4 linked regions of the Yarrowia lipolytica genome follow. The main gene of each other region encodes a partner of the protein of the gene in region 3 in a complex. Links are inferred from orthologs where the notes say so. Each region holds a gene or a part of one and is shown on either strand. Other genes may lie near its edges.

Region 1 (4,994 bases), on a different chromosome or scaffold from region 3:
TGGCGCTGCTGCTGGCACTGCTGCAGGCGCCCCTGGTTCTGTTCCTCCAGGTGCTCCTGCTGAGGCTCATCCTGAAGCTGCCACTTCCAACTCTTGGAATGAGTCTCACTAAAGGAAAAAGAGAGGTTCAAATGAACTCGACGCTCGGTTCAAAAAAGAGAAGTGTTCTTCTCAAGTATTATAATATATATTGGTTTTATTGAGTGGGCTAGGGTTTTTGGGTGAATGTAGACTTTTAAAGGGGAACACAGTGGGCCAGCTTGGGTTTGGTCCATGAAGTACGAGTATCGTATATAGTATAAAGACTAGACATATCTATGGACAGACACCTTGAATACTGTATCTGAATTGCGTCTTGTGTGCCTTGTATGTGCCTTTTCTGATCCTGTAGTAGGCATATTCGCGGCTCAAGGCTGACTACTTGCAGGATGTGTCTTGACTAATAGTTAAGGTATAAGTATTCACCAACAACGCGTCAACCAACGAAACCTAACTCACATCTTGCAAACTGGAATACTGAGGCATAACAGTATTACAAAGCAAAATATTGTCGTTTATTTGTTCAGATCTTGTATATTCTGTATGTAATGATACTATTTGTTTCTTGCTAACATGCCAGCAACCCTGAAATGTATACCATCAGCATGAATTATCTCCAACTATTACCAACCAAACAATCTTAACTAAGTAACTAGATGCAGCGTTCTTCGTTCCAGGGCTCGCTCAGCATGATTGGATACGTGCAACATTAACAACCACTTACACCACCGCCATACTGGTACGAGTGCAGCACAAGTAGTTGTATCATACTTGCACGAAGCCCTCTGTTCCGTGTCTCTGCTTTGTCTACATTATACCTCTGTCTTGATGTATGGATTGTGTTAACATACATAGATGGTTCAACAATATATATTGCAGTTCCATGGCAGCTGATCATACCAGTACATACTTTGGTCACTCTTTTGAGTCAGTCGTTTTCGTTCGTTCGTTCAATACGGTCCCGTTCACTTATACTATATACATTACTTTCGCTGCTCCTTGTATCGAGGTCGATCCTTGAGCTTGTTGGGGTTCTGGTGCTTGCCTCGTCGGGTCTTGTATCGCTTGGCCAGCACGCCCCAGATGGATCGCGACGTCACGTTACCCTTGGACTTTCCTCGTCCACCTCCGTGGGGATGGTCGCAGGCGTTCATGGCTACACCTCGCACGGTGGGTCGGATACCTCTCCATCGCGATCTGCCGGCCTTTCCGAACGACTCGTTCTGATGGTCAGGAGCAGACACCACACCGATGGTGGCCGAGGCCTTGAGATGCACGTATCGCTCTTCGCCACTCTGCATTCGCACGATGGCCTTGTTCTTGGCGGGCTCCTTTCCAATGAGACGTCCGTAGGTTCCGGCAGCTCGGCAGAACTTGGCCTTGCCGTGGGGCTCGGTGGAAATGGCGTGGATGACGGTACCCACGGGGATCATCCACATGGGCAGACAGTTGCCCTTTCGACACAGTCGGTAGGCCAACATGGCGGGGTCGGTCTGGCCGTGGAACTCGTCAATGATGTTCTGGGGGATGCCGTTGAGGAACGACTGCACCGTGTCACCGGCTCGAGTACCCTCGGGAGCAGTGATGTAGGAAAAGTTGCCGGACTCCTTGTTCTTGAGGAGCGCAATGTGGCCGCTTCGGTTGGGGTCTCGCTCGATCCGCACAACCTCGCACTCTCCAGTCTCCTGTCGGAAGAAATCAATGAGCCGCACTCGTCGTCGGTGTCCTCCACCCTGGTGTCGAGTCACGACTCGGCCAGTGTTGCTACACCGACCGTTTCGGGCCTTTCGGGCCACAGTCAGAGCCCGGTGGGGCTTGCCCTTCCACAGGTAAGGGTAGATGGCAGCCTTGTACCATCGCATGGAGGGCGAGATGGGAGTCATGGTCTTGAACTTGACGGCGGCCTTGGTGATCTTGCGCTGGCTCTTCATGTAGATATCCTGCTTTTCCAGAGCAGTCAGATCGACCGTTTCGGGCACCAAGGTGATGTCGCTGACACTGGTGTTTCGGGCAAACATGGCGGCCTCCGAGTCCACAAACGGCTTCATTCGAGTGGGTCGGACCCGCTGACGCTTGGGAGTGGCGCCCTTGATCTCCTCGTCGATAAACGAGTCCTCAGCCACGGGGGGCTGCTGCTCCTGTCGCAGTCTGGGAAAGGTCGAAAAGGCCCGCAAGGGAGCCAGCGAGATGGCCGGCTGGATCGCTCCGATACGTCCAATTCGGGCCGACAGGTGTCGAGAGACGAGTCGGTTCATTTTGTCGAGGTTGGGGCGACGGTACGGAGGTTTAGTATTTTCGCTTTTGGCACCTTGTTCACGGTGATATGATTTGAAATTTCGCACCTGCACTACCCCAACCCTGATTTACCGCTTACGATTCCTCCCAACCGGTACCACAAGTACGGGCTCTATAGTGTGGAGGCGTGCCCAGAAATACGCTACCACCCAGCGTGCACGCCCATTGGCTCAAACCGAAAAATGGTGCGCCCCGTTTTCCTCCCCCGTGTACATATCGACACAGTTCAGCTCAGACACAACACCACACCTCAAGATGTTCGCTTCCCGAGCCATTCGAATGATGTCCATGCGGCCCATGGCCCGAACCATGGCCACCAAGGCCGCCGCCCCTGTCAAGGTCCCCGTCCAGCTCTTCGGCCTCGACGGTACTTACGCTACTGCTCTGGTGGGTATAATTGTGTTTTTTGGAAGGATGGAGGGGACGGTTTTCCCGGAGGAAACGGTGCAATTGGAAACGACGACAGCGAGGAATTGACAAGAACTGAATTGGCCTGATGGGTCGTGTTGCAGATGCAATTCGACTGGAATGATACCCTTGACACGTGGATGGATGCAATCATGGTGGTACTGTAGTAGAGGCCAGCACAACACTACTCAACATAATGCAGGAAGGGAGAGGAGGAGAGGAAGGATCAATGGGAGGCAACATGCAGCTGGCTGATTTAACGACGAATTGAGCAGCTCTCAGAGCTCGATATCGTGTTTTGTCAACCTTTTTGTTGCGTGTAACCTCGTGTAACCTCGTCACTGTAGGTTAATTGCTCAATGTTGGGGTAACACACACTCTATGGAGTAACAAGACGACATGCGCAATCCCTCTTCCCATGCCAACTTCGTACATTCTTCCAAGGCTCGACGTCAATTCCCAACACGCCAACTCCAGATAACACTTCCAATCTCTATTGCTATTTACTAACTCAGTACACCGCCGCCGCCAAGGAGTCTGACCTCTCCAAGACTGAGGGCTCTCTCGCCAAGCTGCGGGACGTGTTCGCTCAGCAGCCCGAGGTTGCCCAGATTGTCTCTAACCCCACCCTCTCTCACGAGGACAAGCAGACTGTCGTCAACGTCCTGTCCCAGGCCGTTGGTGGAGACAAGACTCTCACCAACTTCCTGACCGTCATCTCCGACAACAACCGACTGGCTCTCATCCCCGGTATCATTGAGAAGTTCGAGACTCTCGTCAACGCATCCAAGGGTCTCGTTGAGGCCACCGTCACCTCTGCCTCCGAGCTCGACAAGAAGACCGTCAACCGAATCCAGGCCGCCATTGCTGGCTCTTCTTTCGTTGGTGAGGGTGAGCTCAAGCTCAACCTCAAGGTTAACCCCGATATCCTCGGTGGTCTCATTGTCGAGGTTGCTGAGCGAACCGTTGACGTCTCTGTCGCCTCCAAGATTGCTCGACTCAACCACGTCCTTAGCGAGCCCATCTAAATAGACATGATTTAAATGATTGAATGTTATACGCTTACTTCGACTTCTGTAGTATTAAAAATGCTATCTATTTGCAGTAGTTTCTTTTTTAACCAAGTTTCCCTTACTCCTCTTGGAAGATGCAAATCCATCAGCAACCACAGTCTTCTTCCTCTTCTTTCTCACCGGCAGACCCTCGAAGTGAACCAGAGAGTTCTCAAACTGGTCGTGTTTATCGACCTTGATATACAGCGGGACAGGCTTGTCAAAGAACGCGACTTCGTCTGTCGTTCCTTTGTGAAGATTCTCCATGGATGTTAAAGCGTAGTTGAGAAGCGTTTCTCGCAGCTGGTCGTCGTCAACCATTTCCTTTGGGGTTTCGTCATTAGCATCTGAGATCTCCGTTCGACGTCGATAAATATCTTCCTCCAGAGTATCTTGGAGTACGAGGGTCTCTACGTGCACCTCCGACTTTTGACCAATACGGTGAGCTCGCTTGATAGCCTGAGCTTCGATGTCTCGTCTCCACACGGGAGAAAGAAAGAATACCCACGAGGCAGAGGTGATGTTGAGACCATGCGCAGCAGCGTTGATGTTCATGAGAAGTACCTGGAAGTTGTCCGTCGCTTCAAACGTGGCGAGATACTGGGCGCGTCTCTCCTTTGAAACCTTGTCTGTCGTGTAAATGAGGTGCTTGATCCCTACTGCTTCAAAGGCCTCAGCAACAGCGACGGCTGAGTCCACGTCTTCGTAAAAAACAATGATCTTGTGATCTTTAACAAGAACAAGAGTCTTGGACACCAGGTAAGACAACTTGGACGAGCCAGTTCCGACAATTGTGGGTTTGTCACTCACTGGATAATCCGCCTCCAATTGCGAATGGTGATTTTGAGGCGCTCCTGTAGGAGCAGACTCTACCTTCAAACCCACGCTTTCAAGATATTCTTCGGGAGATATTTTCTGCTTTGCATGATGAAAATTCTTGACGGCTGGATTCTTCTTGTCTTTCCGCTCTCTCTTATTGTCAACATTTCTGTTGTAGGATGTCCAGAATCTGCTTGAGAACAAGGGATCATCAGACAGCTCTTTAATAACACCCTCCAAAGGTGTGCCATCTTTGGATTTCGTTTCCGTCCACAGATCCAGCTTTTCATCCTCACTGGCGGCCCTTTGTAGATATGTCAGCGGTGCACCTCCAATAATTCCGTACTCACGCTTGTCTCGAACGATAAGGGGATTAGCCAT
Region 2 (4,113 bases), on a different chromosome or scaffold from region 3:
GGGGGGCGTTCAATTCGGCACCAATTCCTCATTCTACTCCTTCAAAAATTATTTTTTCGCCACTTTCCACTCCTTTGAACATCCCTTCGTTTTCATGCAATAACTTCACATGGTTGCAAGCAAGTTTTCCACTCTGGAAGTGCTTGAAATGAGCATCTCTAGAAGTTGCCTGATTGACGGTTTGGGTTTGAAGGTGCAAGTTGGTGTTTGTCAATCTGGTAGTATTGTTGTGGCCGTCATTGAGTCTCTATATTGTGTAAATAGATGTCACACCACCAACCATCCAATGAGAGGCTGGAACTTCGATGTTGCTAGGTTTTGTCATACGAGCTTTTACTCGGGGCAAAGTAACTTTCAGACTTGAGTCGTTAACGATATGGCCAGTGTTGAAGGCGGAGAATTGAGGGACCGAGGGAGGATCGGAGGAGTGTTTATTGTTTCATTTGGTGATATTGTCAGATGTATCAGCTTTTAAGCAAATTTAAAACAATATTGGTGGATAGATAGTGTTCATGTTGAGTCTTAACTAATGGGACAGTTTAGTTGATACTGTTTATTGGAAAAAGGAGATAAACCTCGAGAGATGAGATGTTCCACTGTATAAGCTACTGTAATTTAGAGCAAAGGGGAACAAATGATCTCACATGGCCGCACTTGTGTATTTGGCATTGATTCAGAAGCCGCCTGACACTGTAAGGAACTGAATGTGACCATGCTCGAATATTGGAACACTGGAGTTGTGACACAGCTGCTCGCAAGCTGCCCATGTTGGCATGTCACATACAAGCACATGTAGTGATCCAGCCCTCCATCATTCCTACTCTCAGCTCTCCTTCCATATCCTTCCATTCACTATATACATTTACTTGAAGAGGAACTTCTTTCGCTTGGCGGCTGCCTTCTTGACGGAGGCCTCGAGATCGCCAACATCCAGACGCTTGTGGCCTCGGATGTAGTACAGACGCTCGGCGGTGTACTTCTGGGTGGCCCGTCGGATAATCTTGACAGACTCGACGGTTGGAGAGAAGATCTTGAATCGTCGGTCGATTCCGATCTTGGTGATCTTAGATCGCAGCAGCAGGTTAGAGGACAGTCCTCGGAAGTCCACCACCATGGTGAGGCCCGTGAACAGAGAGCCATCAGTGGTCTTGATCTGCACAATGTCTCCGGGCTTGATTCGGTCAGCGGATTTGGGGTTCATCAGCTCCATCTTGACGCCCTGGGGATCAAACTGCTTCATCAGCTTGTCAGTGACGTGTGTAAGAGCGTTCTCGGTACCCAGACGTCGGGGGTGTCGCTCGTAGATGTTGACGGTCTTTGGCTCTCGCTTGATGGTCTTGAATGTGGCCATCTGCATCACGGGCAGACGCACCGCTGCCAGCGATGGACGGATCAGTCGAGCCAGCATTTTTGTGCAAGTGTGGTGATGCTGTATACTGACTGTTGGTGTGCTCTAGGGCCTATTTTGGTTAAATTTTCAGTCGCGGTTAGGGTTTGCGGTTTGTAATGCTGGGAAGATGAGTCCGAGACGATGAGAAAACAAAGGGAGAGGGGCTATAAGAATGAATGAGCCGATGCGTCCGTGGTGTTCCTCTACCATATGGCTCGAATACTGTAGTAATTTTCGTCTTTCTACAATGAGTTTGCCTTTGTTGAATCGTTTTGTAATGTTTTCTTGTTTTTCTACAGTTTAGGGCTCTCAAGACGGTACAGAAGAGAAGATCGTGACAAACAAATTGATACCGAGAATGTTTTTGTGAAGATGGCGTCTTGGTGCTGTTATTCTACCCATATTATTTTCTCACAACCAGTTACCAACCGCTCTAATTCAGTCTCATCCAGTCCAAAGTGCTTATTCTGGATCGGTACATACATACAAGTAATGTAGTGCTTGGTCGAGTTTTTCCTCACTCGTACCATGCACCATAATCTGAACCATAATATAATTTGTATCACCAACATCCATCCAGAGCACAACACCACGGTACACAAAACCCTCGCCTCGCCACCACCACCGACATGCCCACTATATTCATCTCCACCCCCAGTGGTCTGAGAGATATCCAGAAACACGTTTTGGCTGATGATGATGTCCACGTCGCTATCGAAAGCGCTCTCAAAGAACTGCCCCCTAACGCCACAGCCAAGGGATATCTCAGCACCAGAGGAGGCCAGAGTCTTGAGAGCCTGTCTGCTGCAGCTGGTGACATCTACTTGCGCTGGAATATGCGTCTTTGCGGTGGAAAGGGTGGTTTCGGGTCCATGCTGCGAGCCCAGGGAGGACGTATGGCCCGAAAGAAGAATAGAAAGAAGACGGAGACGGAGAACGACTCTTTTCGAACGCTGGACGGCCGCCGAATGAAGAGTATCCGGCAGGCCAAGGAGCTTGGAGAGTACCTCAGCACAGCCGACGAGATCAAGAAGAAGGAGGCCGAAGAGAAGAAACAGAAGCTGCTCAACATTCTGCAGAAGGAAAAGACCAGTGGGTCCAGTCGAAAGAGCAAGTTTGAAAACACACGACTGCTGGAAGACCATGAAGATGCCGTTCAGAAGATGCGAAAGGACGCGGAGATGGCTGCTCTGGCTGTATCCGAAATTGATACTGCCTTGTCATCTTCTGCAGGATCTTCCAGCTCGAATGTGAAGGCCAAGGGTGGAGATTTCTTTGGTATGGACTTCAGCGAATCCGAAAGTGAGTCTGAGTCCGACACCGAGTCTATATGAGCCGATAAAGACTCTCTGGGCCTCTACCCGTTAACAATTATTTATAAAGAGATTATTTATTGACAAGCAGATGCCAGCAGCGAAGGAGTAGGGTTCCTGGGGATGGTACTGTATGACATCGAAGCATACATGATAGATTGTACAAAATGTTCTCCACTTTTGGAAGTGCTCCTGGCTTCCATAGAACCGCCGTATGTACAGATATCTCTGTGTGTGAAACAACACGCACGCTATTCAAAACGCCAAGGGTAGTATAACAGCACAGATATCCTAATCGATCCAATGTTTTCGTTCGATCATTTGTGTCCGAGAATTTTCTATACAACAGATTCCTCATTTATTGCACTTTCTTGACTCCATAGATTATCACTACTGTACCGTGCATGACACGTGACTCTCATCAAAATTTAGGTCCAATATGCAAAGTTTGAGAAAACTCCAGCATCAGTTCCATCACCAAAAAATGTCCAGTCAGAACCGAGGCGACCGAGAAATTGATATTTTCGTTGAGCAGTTCATCAGGTGAGTGTTTGAGGGCTTCTTGCTGGAAAAAGAGGGCTCGATGCCTAAACTCGGGGCTGTTGCGAGACCTCGTGACATGGATCACGACATCCTCACCAAGCCGAAACTAACATAGCCAACTGAAACGTCGACAGTTGTCGGGATCACACGCAGTTGCTCTGGCCACGGCACAACTGCTTCTGCGGTTTGTTTCTGCCGCAAGATGGAATCACATTGACTCTCTAGTCAAGGACATTCGTGCCCTGGGAGTGCGTCTGGTGCAGACCGCCCCCAAGGAGATTGCGTGTCGAAATATCGTATCGCGAGTGCTGACACTGATTCGGGAGGAGCAGCACGGCCACAAGGCCGAAAACGGCGGGCTTAGCGGCAGCATGCTGGGTCTTTTGGAGAAGAACGACAAGAAGGAGGAGGTGCTGGACAAGGCTGCTTTGCGACAGGCGAACCGAGATATCCGGCCCTACATCATCGAGGGTATTCAGGATCTGATTGACGAGGTCGCCAACATCGAGGAGAACATTGCCAAAATGTCTGTCGACGAGATCCACGACAACCAGATCATTCTGACCCCGACCCCTGCATCCGAAACCGTGCTGCTGTTTCTGCTCAAGGCCGCACGTAAGCGAAACTTCACCGTTCTGGTCACCGAGGGCTTCCCCAACCAGATTGATGCAGCACACAACATGGTGGAGAAACTGACAAAGGCCGGAGTCGAGGCCATCATCATCCCCGATGCTGCCGTCTACGCCGTCATGTCTAAGGTCGGACGAGTCATCATGGGCACTTCTACCGTGCTGGCCAATGGAGGATGTCTTTCATCAGCTGGATCTGCTCTCGTTTGCGCCACAGCAACACAGCATTCCACCCCCG
Region 3 (4,585 bases):
ACAGACCCACGAACGACACATTCTTTCAACAGCATGGGCTTTCAGGATTGGTTTGCGCAAAAGTCGCGCAAGTGGGCGGCACTGCGCCAGAAACCGGCTATGAGATTGTTCATCTGGTCAACATGGATCCCTGTGGCAATATGTTTTCTGGACCACGCCTACTTTCTCGGCCATATCAGCGGCAACAGCATGACCCCTGCTCTGAACCCCGACTCAAATCTTGGCAAGCGTGACATTGTGCTGTTGCAGAAATTCCTAATCAAACAGCCCGGTTACCTCAAGGTCGGAGACGTGGTGCTGCTGCGAAACCCCATGGATCCGGATAAGTTTTTGTGCAAGCGGATTCTTGGAGTGGGAGGCGACGAGATTGTGACCCGCCACCCGTACCCGCAAAAGACGTGCTTTGTGCCCTTTAACCACGTGTGGGTCGAGGGCGACAACATCCATTCGTTCGACTCCAACAACTTCGGTCCAGTGTCACTCGGTCTCATGCATGGCAAGTGTCCCAAGGTGCTGTGGCCATTTAACCGTTTTGGAGCTATTCCTGACGGAGGACGAGAGGCCCGGAAGGAAAAGTTGGGGTATGTTGATGATGTTGTTGAGGGCTAACTGCGGAGAGCGTAACGAGCCGTGGTTAGAAGCGACAAGCTCCATTGCAATCCTCTACCACTCAGAGACTGTATATATTTGCATTTGACGATTTGATGACTAATTTCAGTAAGTCATGATGAACCAATACTTGCGTAGGGTACTTTTGGACAGACAATACTGTAATGTACTGTAATGTACTCGTAGTGGAGATGGTTTCGATCTACAAGTACATACTGTAATGGAGGTTGAGGTAACCGTAGTTACATCCTCTTCCATGAAAGGCTTTGTACGCTCAGACAGGCTACACAGCATTCTCATCAGCCGTAACACTCATGAATTGTACACTATCGTCAGTAGTACAGTTGTACCCATATACAACATTTACTCCCACTCATACACACTACCCACTATCTGTTATCATATCGTTACTATATACATGACTCTTATATACATCACTCCTTGGGGAGCTTGTTAAGGAACTGGGCAGGAATGTTCTCCAGAATGTCCTGCTCGGACAGATCCAACTTTTTGTTCTTCAGAGCCTCCTCAAACACGGCGGCGGCGCCCATCTTCTCCTCCACAAGATGTTGCAGCACCCGGATGGCGTTCCAGGGAGCCACGGGCAGAGGGTTGGACTCTCGGTACTGTTTGATGTAGCTGAGGGCCTCGGCGACTCCCTCGGTGGTGTCATTAGCCAGGAACATGAGGTACTGCTCAAAAATGTCTCGCTTGGGCTGGTGCACAAAGCCGTGGTTGGCAATGGGATTGCCGTTCTCGTCGGTGGCTCCGCTGTATCGCTCGTACTTGAGCTTGGCACCGTACTTGACGGCCTCGATAATCTTCTCGTCCACCTGCACGCCAGCGTTGGCTCGGGGGTCGGTGGAGAAGCCGTAGTAGGCGACAAGGTGTCGCTCGAGCTCCAGAGACAGCTCGCTGTCGTAGACGGCGTCAGCAGTGACGTACTTTTCGTCAAATTCGGCGTTGGCCTGGGCTCGCACCTCGGGAAGCACCTGCTGGACCTCCTCAAACGCTCTGTATCGCTCGGCCAGTACGTGTCGAATGTTGACCATGGTTTCGCCGACTCGGTCATGCTCGCTTCTGTAACCACCGTTCTGGTTCTCAAAGTGCATTCGGGTGGTGACTCGTTCCTCCTTCAGAAGAATGTTTCGCTCCTTGAGACACACGTACCACAGAGCATGGAGATCCTCAAACGACTTTCGTCGCAGCTCGGCCACACTCCAGGGTCGCGTGCTGCTGTCAAAGCTCCGCTGATCCCGTACAATTTTCTTGTCCTTGCAAAAAAACTGCCACAGAGGATGCGAATCGGGTACCTCGATATTGTCCAGAGCAGGCGCAATAGGGGCCTTGAGCTCCAGCTTTTTGACAAACTCGTTGCCGGTCACGGAGCCGGGCAGCGGCTTGGGCCACTTCTTACGACCCTGTCGAACAGCCGATGTGTGTAGCGATCGGATCATGGTTGTGTATGTTCTGTTGGATACAGTCGTCAGTTGAAAAAATCGCTTGGGAATCTGGAACTTTATTCTCCCACAGGATTTCACCTCCCAAATTTCGCTCGGTAGGTGCTAGCAGAATAGGGTTTCATGTCATGTGACGCGTGTAGAGAGGATCAGTAATAGAAATGGTCTTCAGGGCACCTAATTGTTCATTAAAAAGATGTCAAGTCCTTAACATCTGACTTCTTTCAATGTCAGGACTTCCAAAACATGATGGTCCCTCTTCCTTGTGATGTTCGGCACCATATTCTCTCTCTACTGGTACAGTATGTAGTTATACCCACTCACATTTCTACCCACTACTAGTGCTATACTTACAGTCACCTGAAACGGTGTTGACGCTATATAGACCGACCACCATGCGACATACTAGACACCTATTAAGAGATCAGTTACACTAACGACATCCCCTGTTGCAACCACTACCTCCTATCATACCAATACCACATCGTCTTCTGCACATCCAGCTGCCACCTCTACACTCCTCCCAACCTACCCTAACCCCATACTCTCACCATCTCAGACACTAATCAGCATCTATCGACAGACACACCACACATCACAATGACCGACGTCGACACTTCAGGCGGCTCTGAGCCCCTTGATCTCATTGGTCTTTCTCTCAACGAGAACGTTTTCGTCAAGCTCCGTGGAGGACGAGAGCTTTATGGACTTTTGCATGTGAGTAGCAATGTGAAGGACAATGAGAAGATGGCAGGCAAGTCAAGATCGGTATGAATCGGATACATATCCACTGAACATGATACATGTGTAAATGTAATGTCTGTTGCTGTCCGCTAATGACCTGTCCTAGTCCATTCTGTTACTAACCCAGGCCTACGATATCCACTGCAGTATGGTGCTTGGAAACGTAGAGGAAACAGTCTTCGAGTACGTGGAGGGCAGTCCAAAACTGGAGGCCCGAAAGAAGAAGAGCGAAATGCTTTTTGTTCGAGGAGACTCGGTCATTCTGGTCACCTCTAACCCCCCGAAGCGACCTTAGGGCATGTATTATAGTAATGGATGGTTTGAATAGTGCAAGCTTGTGAGCGCCGTAACCTGGCTAGAGGACGTCTGGAAACAGGCGCCCCTAGGTGTATTCGCATGAAATTGCGGTGTAAGGATTGTGACAATATACAGGTTCTGCATAGATCGTCCTATTCTGAGTAGAACATCAAGGTCGCTACCGTTGTCTATAGAATTTCAAAAATGGTTAACAGAGTCAGGATCACAAATACTTTTACTTGCAATTACAAATAGGAGAAATGTCAACTACGCCAGCATTCACCTCACGATTTATGACAGTATATCTATTTATACAAGCTATTTTATATACGATGAACGATGAACCTCCCTAAATACTATTTCGCCGGGCAATGGTTCTCTTATGTTTGGTCTTAACATTCTCCATTCCAGGGATAGCAGGAAACTTGCCATCCTCTCGCAACTCGGTCAGGAACTTGTGGCCGTACTTGTTACCTACCCTATAGATGTCAAGGAATTTGGCGAAGTCAAGAGTAGCAAAATCGTCAATGGGGGGACGCATGTAGATGACGCCAGGGGTGTGCTTAGCCTTCTCAAGAGCACCCACTGATGATACGTATGCCAACCGAGCCTGAATTTCTGCCAGGTTGGGAACATTAGGATGTCGACCAAAGGGATTCCATCGGTTCCACATGACCCATGCACCAGACAAGGAGTCACCGTAGTTCATGGGAGTGGTATCGTCGATAGATCCGACATCTACGGCAAATACCACGGAGGCTCCCTGAGCCTTCATCTCCGAAACAGGCAGGTTATCAACATAACCTCCATCCAACAACATAGATCCATTGTCTGTCAAAGGAGGAAGAAGACCAGCAAGAGACATACTTGCTCGAATGTATCTCCACGCATATCCAGATGTGTGGATCTCCATTCTAGAATGAGTAATGTTTGTCGTGTTAGTGAAGTATCGGAGCCAGAAGTCTTCGATACGGGAGTCGCCAAAAGCTTTCCAGATTCCTCGGTTGAACTCGTGACCAGTGGTGTATGAGGTGGCAGGATAGGTCAGATCCAAAGCCATACGCCAAAGAGAAGATACTCGTCCAGAGAACTTCTTGGCTCGTCCATAGATGGGCACCAGATCGTATTCTTTGGCATAGAGCCCCCCTATGAAGGAACCGATGGAAGTACCTCCCACGAAATCAATAGGAATACCAGAGTCTTCGAGAGCCTTGATAATTCCAATATGGGAAATACCTCGAGCTCCTCCTCCGCCAAGAACAAGTCCAATAGCTTGTCCAGAGAGGATTCTGGCAAGTCGATTGAAGTCGTCCTTGTTGGCCGAAGACGTGCTATAGATGTTAGCCTTGGGGCGGTACATGGAACGGAACTCTTCTTGGATCGTTTGGACCTTGTTTTTGAGGTTCGCGAGGGTTCCTGTTCGCTTCATCTTTCGGATACTGGCCAGGACATCAGCTTCATGACGAGGAAGATCC
Region 4 (4,343 bases), on a different chromosome or scaffold from region 3:
GTCAGCATATGGAGGGGGCTGGATAGGGCTGGATATCGATATTATCTCATCTGCTCCTTCACACAAGCGTGTCTCACACAGCCCGCTTTTCTGGTTCTCGGCACGGCTTGTTAGTCGAACTCTGCCCCTGAACAATGTGCTTTGCGTGCAGCAAAGGTGATGAGGCGTGATGGATGCAAGCGGTGCCGCGAGTTAGACCAGTGGAGGGAGGAGATTACTGAACGTACAGCACAATGAAGCCCCCGACCGGCATATGTCCACGCATCAGGAGATGTGCTGATGGGTCGGTACAAGTAGACGGCGTGCTTTTAAACAACAGTTGTGGAATGTCCAATCGAGCTTCGGTGGATAGCTGAGTCTTGTGGGACCCCTCACTTGAAGAAGAAGCCGTATAGTTATTGGCTAATGCACAGTGTGCCCGACAGCAACACCAGATTACTTTTTCTCATCACATCCATTTGACTTGCTACAGCTCAACTGCTAAGACCATGTGCAGGACATGCACCGAAGGGGACCCTTTAAGGGGAGCCCGAACCCTGGGTTGCCCGGTTGGGAATGGACTGTGATCCAAGTGGACGCCAAAACGACAGGTCCTGATAGCGTGGACGGCTGTGTGGAGCTAGCTCCGGCCTCTAGGCGAGCATAGAAATGGCTGTTATCTGTGGCTCTTGCGCCAACCACAGTCCCATAGTCTTATCGAGCTCGAAACCCTGAAGCCCCGACCCCGAAACCCACACAGTTTCACATTTACACCTAAATTCGGACACCCCTTCTCCCTCCCCCCATATTACACTCACACTCTCTTCCTTCGCCCCACACGATATGGAATAATGGACGAAGCGTTTCATTTGCAGCCCCACACCCACGTCTCGTCCAAAAAGGTGGTCGACGTGGGTGGCATCCGCACCATGGTCTACGGCCTCGAAGAGCTGCCCAAACGGTGCAAGGCCGTCGGAGTGCTTTACCTGGCCCATCCCAGGCTGCAGAACTACATGTACACCGAATATCTGGCCCACGAACTGCTCTCTCGGTGTCGCGAGGCAGCTGTGGACCGGTCGCCCGAGGCCGACCAGCGAGACCTGCCTGCCACCAACACCGGGATCGAGGCTCTCAAGGCATCCCGACCGCATGTGACAAGAACCGATTCACACACCTCGCGACGGCACTCGTACACGCCCTGGACAAACTACATTGCCGTGACGTTCGATCTGCGAAACCACGGCTCGCGAACTCTCACGGCCCAACGGTCTCTTGATTGGGAGGCAGGAAACGACACCCATGCCGTGGATATGATGTCCATCATCGACGGCTCCACAGACGACCTGCTGCTGGTCATGCAGTACCTGCCAGCAGTGCTGGACGCACAGCTCCGCAACGTGGCACCCAAATGGTACAACATTGTGTCTGGAGTGTCACTGGGAGGCCACATTGCCTGGCGATCTGTGGCCCGCAACAAGGACCAGGACATTTTTGCCATTGCACCAATAATCGGATCGCCCAGCATGCGCACGCTATTCGAGGACCGGCTGGACCAGCACCGGCAAAAGACAGGCTCCCTCAAAAACACCAACCCTCAGTGCCAATACCTGATTCCCGAGCCATTAAAGGACATCATTGCCCGTGACGACGCACGGGTATTTGACATGTCTACAGACACACATGTCTTCATTGCCACCGGTGAGGACGATGCGTTGGTCAAGGACTCATACTCGCATGAGTGGATCGAGCATTTCAAAAAGAATGGCGGTAGCCCCGAGTACGTGTGCCAGGAGGGCGTGGGCCACGTTTGCACAAACTACATGGTGACGCGCTTAGCAGAGTGGATTGTGCGGATTACCAGCGGGTGAGTGACAGTTGGTGCGTGTTGAACAACGCGTAGTGGGAGAGGTGATTCTGGCTATTCGCATTTTTTTCTTTTTCGTCCCCGCAATCGACCAATAACTAATACTAGCAAACCTGGTAGCAAGGTCTAGGTCCGCATAATCGAATATTCAGGGTGCACATCGAGGGGAAGACACAAAAACAACGACGACATTACGATTGAGGCGAACATTGGAAAAATGGTGGGTTCTCTAATCCACAGAACGAGTAATATATCATTGCATGTGCTATACCTTTTAGGTGACCTGGTGTACCGTAGCATGTGTATGACTGTGTACTATATTGATACTACAGTAGGCATGAGTTGTATTTTATCGGGTGAAATCTTTAAAAACTATAGTTCAGGTTGTACTTTGTTCTTTGGTCGGCCTTTGTATATAAATACTTAGAACTGTACGTACTATAACAACAGGACGGTACCCGTATGAAGGGGTACAAGATAAAAGAGTAAGATATGGATGCCGAAAGTTCTAGTCGCTCGAAATAAATCTCCTAATCCATTTTTTTACTCGCGCTGCTTTGATGGTTATAAATCACTATATTTATTTATCCCAGCACCACTGCTCCTCCCGCTCTGCTCACGTGACTCCAGGGTAAAATGTGCACCTGGTGAAAATTCAAAAATCTGCAGCACCATAACCCGAGACGAAACACAACATGATCCGGCGACTAATTCCAGGACTGACCTCCGGGCTACGACGGGGCTTTGCCTCCGAGGCCTCCGGAGCTGCCAAGCAGGCCACCGTCGACACACTGCCCGGCGCAGCAAAGTTGCCCGAGTTCGTTCTCACCTCGGTGCGACAGTTTCCCTCTCTTGAGCCCACACGTCTACAGCCTGTCACCTCGCAAATGCTGGGTGCTCAGGTCCACAAGGATCTGCTGTGGAGAGCCGTGGTCTACGAGGCTGATCGACAGCGAGTAGGAGCCTCCAATCCCCCTGGTCGAGAGCAGATGGGCTACTCTACCCGAAAGCTTCACAAGCAGAAGGGAATGGGTAAGGCCCGAGTCGGTGATGCTGGTTCACCCACACGAACACAGGGAGGTTTCGCGCTCGACAGAAATGCCCCCAACAAGATGGCCACCGGACTGCCCAAGCAGGTGTACGCCTCGGCCATCCGAGCTGCCCTTACGTCACAGTACCAGGAGGGTCGACTTTTTGTAGTTGACGGCCCCTGTGAGCTGCCAGAGTCCGTCAAGGACAACACAACCTTTGGACAACAGTGGCTGCAGGGCGAGCTTGGCTTTGGTAAGAAGGAGATGACCGTTTTCCTGGTTGACACCGAGCGACCCATTCTGGACTCTGTGCTCGGAAAGGACAACCTCAAGGCCGACATTGTGCCCAAGGAGTTCATTGAGGTGCGAGACATTCTCAAGGCCCGAAATGTGGTTGTTGAGTACGACGTGCTCAAGTGGCTGGCCGCCAAGTATCCCACCCGGGATCTCTTCGGCTCCTTCAAGCCCTGGACTAATTAGTGTATATAGTATAAGCATTTTGCTGTTTGATGGCGGCGTGGTAGTCGAGGTGGTGGTTGTTGTGTGGGATACGGTACGAGTACATACTGTACCGGTACAGATGTGTAAGTACGTGCTCGACGATTGTTTTGTACGCTAGTGATATGCTGCTGGCTGGTTGCTGGTTGTCTTGCAAGAAATGAATTAATTCGATATATAAATAACTAGTGTCTGTATCGGAAATAGGGAGACCTGTCGCCCATTTCAGACAGCTCGGCACTGGTAAGATGCTCACATTCGCCCGACTCAATCTTGGCCTGCTTCCTCTTGTTGACAACGTGGTAGCCAAAGTTGAGCACAATGAGAGACACGATTCCAATGCAAACAAACATGATCTCCATACCGTGACCCAGCTTGAACTCGGGCTTGTCTTCGGCTCGGTAAATGTTGGACGCAATGGCCCCAGAGAGGTTTCCAATGCCAATCTGGATGGCCATAGCTACAGCTCGTTTGTATGTACCTGCGACGTTGTTGGACATCCACGAGACAATAGCGGGCAGAGCTGGGTACAGTCCTAGTGCGATGAAGTAGCAGCCCACGTAGACTGCAGTTGGTTTTTTGTGAGACAGGTTGAAGGCCAACAAGTAGCCAAACAGCATGAATAGCAGGTTGACGAGAATGAAGGGAGATCTCTTACCATATCTGTCCGAGAACCAAGCTTGAGTCACCGAAGCTATAGCAGCAATCACGTAGATAGGGATAGTCATGAGCTGAGCTGTGGAGGAGGTGTATCCCAGGTTGTTGACAATGGTGGGAAGGAAGAGGGAGATGCCGTAGAGAGGAACCACAACTCCGAAGTAGAGAAGCAGGTGGACGTAGACCTGGATATCGGTGAAGGCGGCCCAGACGTACTTCCAGTCACGAGAGTCGTTCTGCGCTACCAGTTCACCCCCGGCACTATTGTCGTTGCCATCATACTTGAGTCTCCACACGACAAACTCCCGCTCTTC

The links.
Region 1: YALI1_B14680g (region 3) and YALI1_D15744g share a complex: the UniProt entries of both Saccharomyces cerevisiae proteins name them as parts of the mitochondrial large ribosomal subunit. The link is inferred for Yarrowia lipolytica from reciprocal best matches to the Saccharomyces cerevisiae genes MRPL4 and RML2.
Region 2: YALI1_B14680g (region 3) and YALI1_F31744g share a complex: the UniProt entries of both Saccharomyces cerevisiae proteins name them as parts of the mitochondrial large ribosomal subunit. The link is inferred for Yarrowia lipolytica from reciprocal best matches to the Saccharomyces cerevisiae genes MRPL4 and IMG1.
Region 4: YALI1_B14680g (region 3) and YALI1_E24343g share a complex: the UniProt entries of both Saccharomyces cerevisiae proteins name them as parts of the mitochondrial large ribosomal subunit. The link is inferred for Yarrowia lipolytica from reciprocal best matches to the Saccharomyces cerevisiae genes MRPL4 and YML6.

The regions. Positions count from the first base shown.
Region 1 is NC_090773.1:1,571,761-1,576,754, reverse strand, and holds YALI1_D15744g (mitochondrial 54S ribosomal protein uL2m), read right to left. Parts: upstream 2,295-4,994; coding exon 1,023-2,294; downstream 1-1,022. Other genes in the region: YALI1_D15792g (uncharacterized protein), read left to right, coding at 1-112; YALI1_D15734g (uncharacterized protein), read left to right, coding at 2,590-2,721, 3,258-3,770; YALI1_D15696g (uncharacterized protein), read right to left, coding at 3,834-4,994. UniProt on the Saccharomyces cerevisiae protein: Component of the mitochondrial ribosome (mitoribosome), a dedicated translation machinery responsible for the synthesis of mitochondrial genome-encoded proteins, including at least some of the essential transmembrane subunits of the mitochondrial respiratory chain.
Region 2 is NC_090775.1:3,171,772-3,175,884, reverse strand, and holds YALI1_F31744g (mitochondrial 54S ribosomal protein bL19m), read right to left. Parts: upstream 1,409-4,113; coding exon 863-1,408; downstream 1-862. Other genes in the region: YALI1_F31733g (uncharacterized protein), read right to left, coding at 1,780-2,535; YALI1_F31725g (uncharacterized protein), read left to right, coding at 3,188-3,246, 3,362-4,113. UniProt on the Saccharomyces cerevisiae protein: Component of the mitochondrial ribosome (mitoribosome), a dedicated translation machinery responsible for the synthesis of mitochondrial genome-encoded proteins, including at least some of the essential transmembrane subunits of the mitochondrial respiratory chain.
Region 3 is NC_090771.1:1,465,957-1,470,541, forward strand, and holds YALI1_B14680g (mitochondrial 54S ribosomal protein uL29m), read right to left. Parts: upstream 2,067-4,585; coding exon 1,044-2,066; downstream 1-1,043. Other genes in the region: YALI1_B14658g (uncharacterized protein), read left to right, coding at 1-609; YALI1_B14686g (uncharacterized protein), read left to right, coding at 2,670-2,786, 2,941-3,108; YALI1_B14733g (uncharacterized protein), read right to left, coding at 3,460-4,585. UniProt on the Saccharomyces cerevisiae protein: Component of the mitochondrial ribosome (mitoribosome), a dedicated translation machinery responsible for the synthesis of mitochondrial genome-encoded proteins, including at least some of the essential transmembrane subunits of the mitochondrial respiratory chain.
Region 4 is NC_090774.1:2,432,497-2,436,839, reverse strand, and holds YALI1_E24343g (mitochondrial 54S ribosomal protein uL4m), read left to right. Parts: upstream 1-2,538; coding exon 2,539-3,354; downstream 3,355-4,343. Other genes in the region: YALI1_E24360g (uncharacterized protein), read left to right, coding at 831-1,847; YALI1_E24318g (uncharacterized protein), read right to left, coding at 3,558-4,343. UniProt on the Saccharomyces cerevisiae protein: Component of the mitochondrial ribosome (mitoribosome), a dedicated translation machinery responsible for the synthesis of mitochondrial genome-encoded proteins, including at least some of the essential transmembrane subunits of the mitochondrial respiratory chain.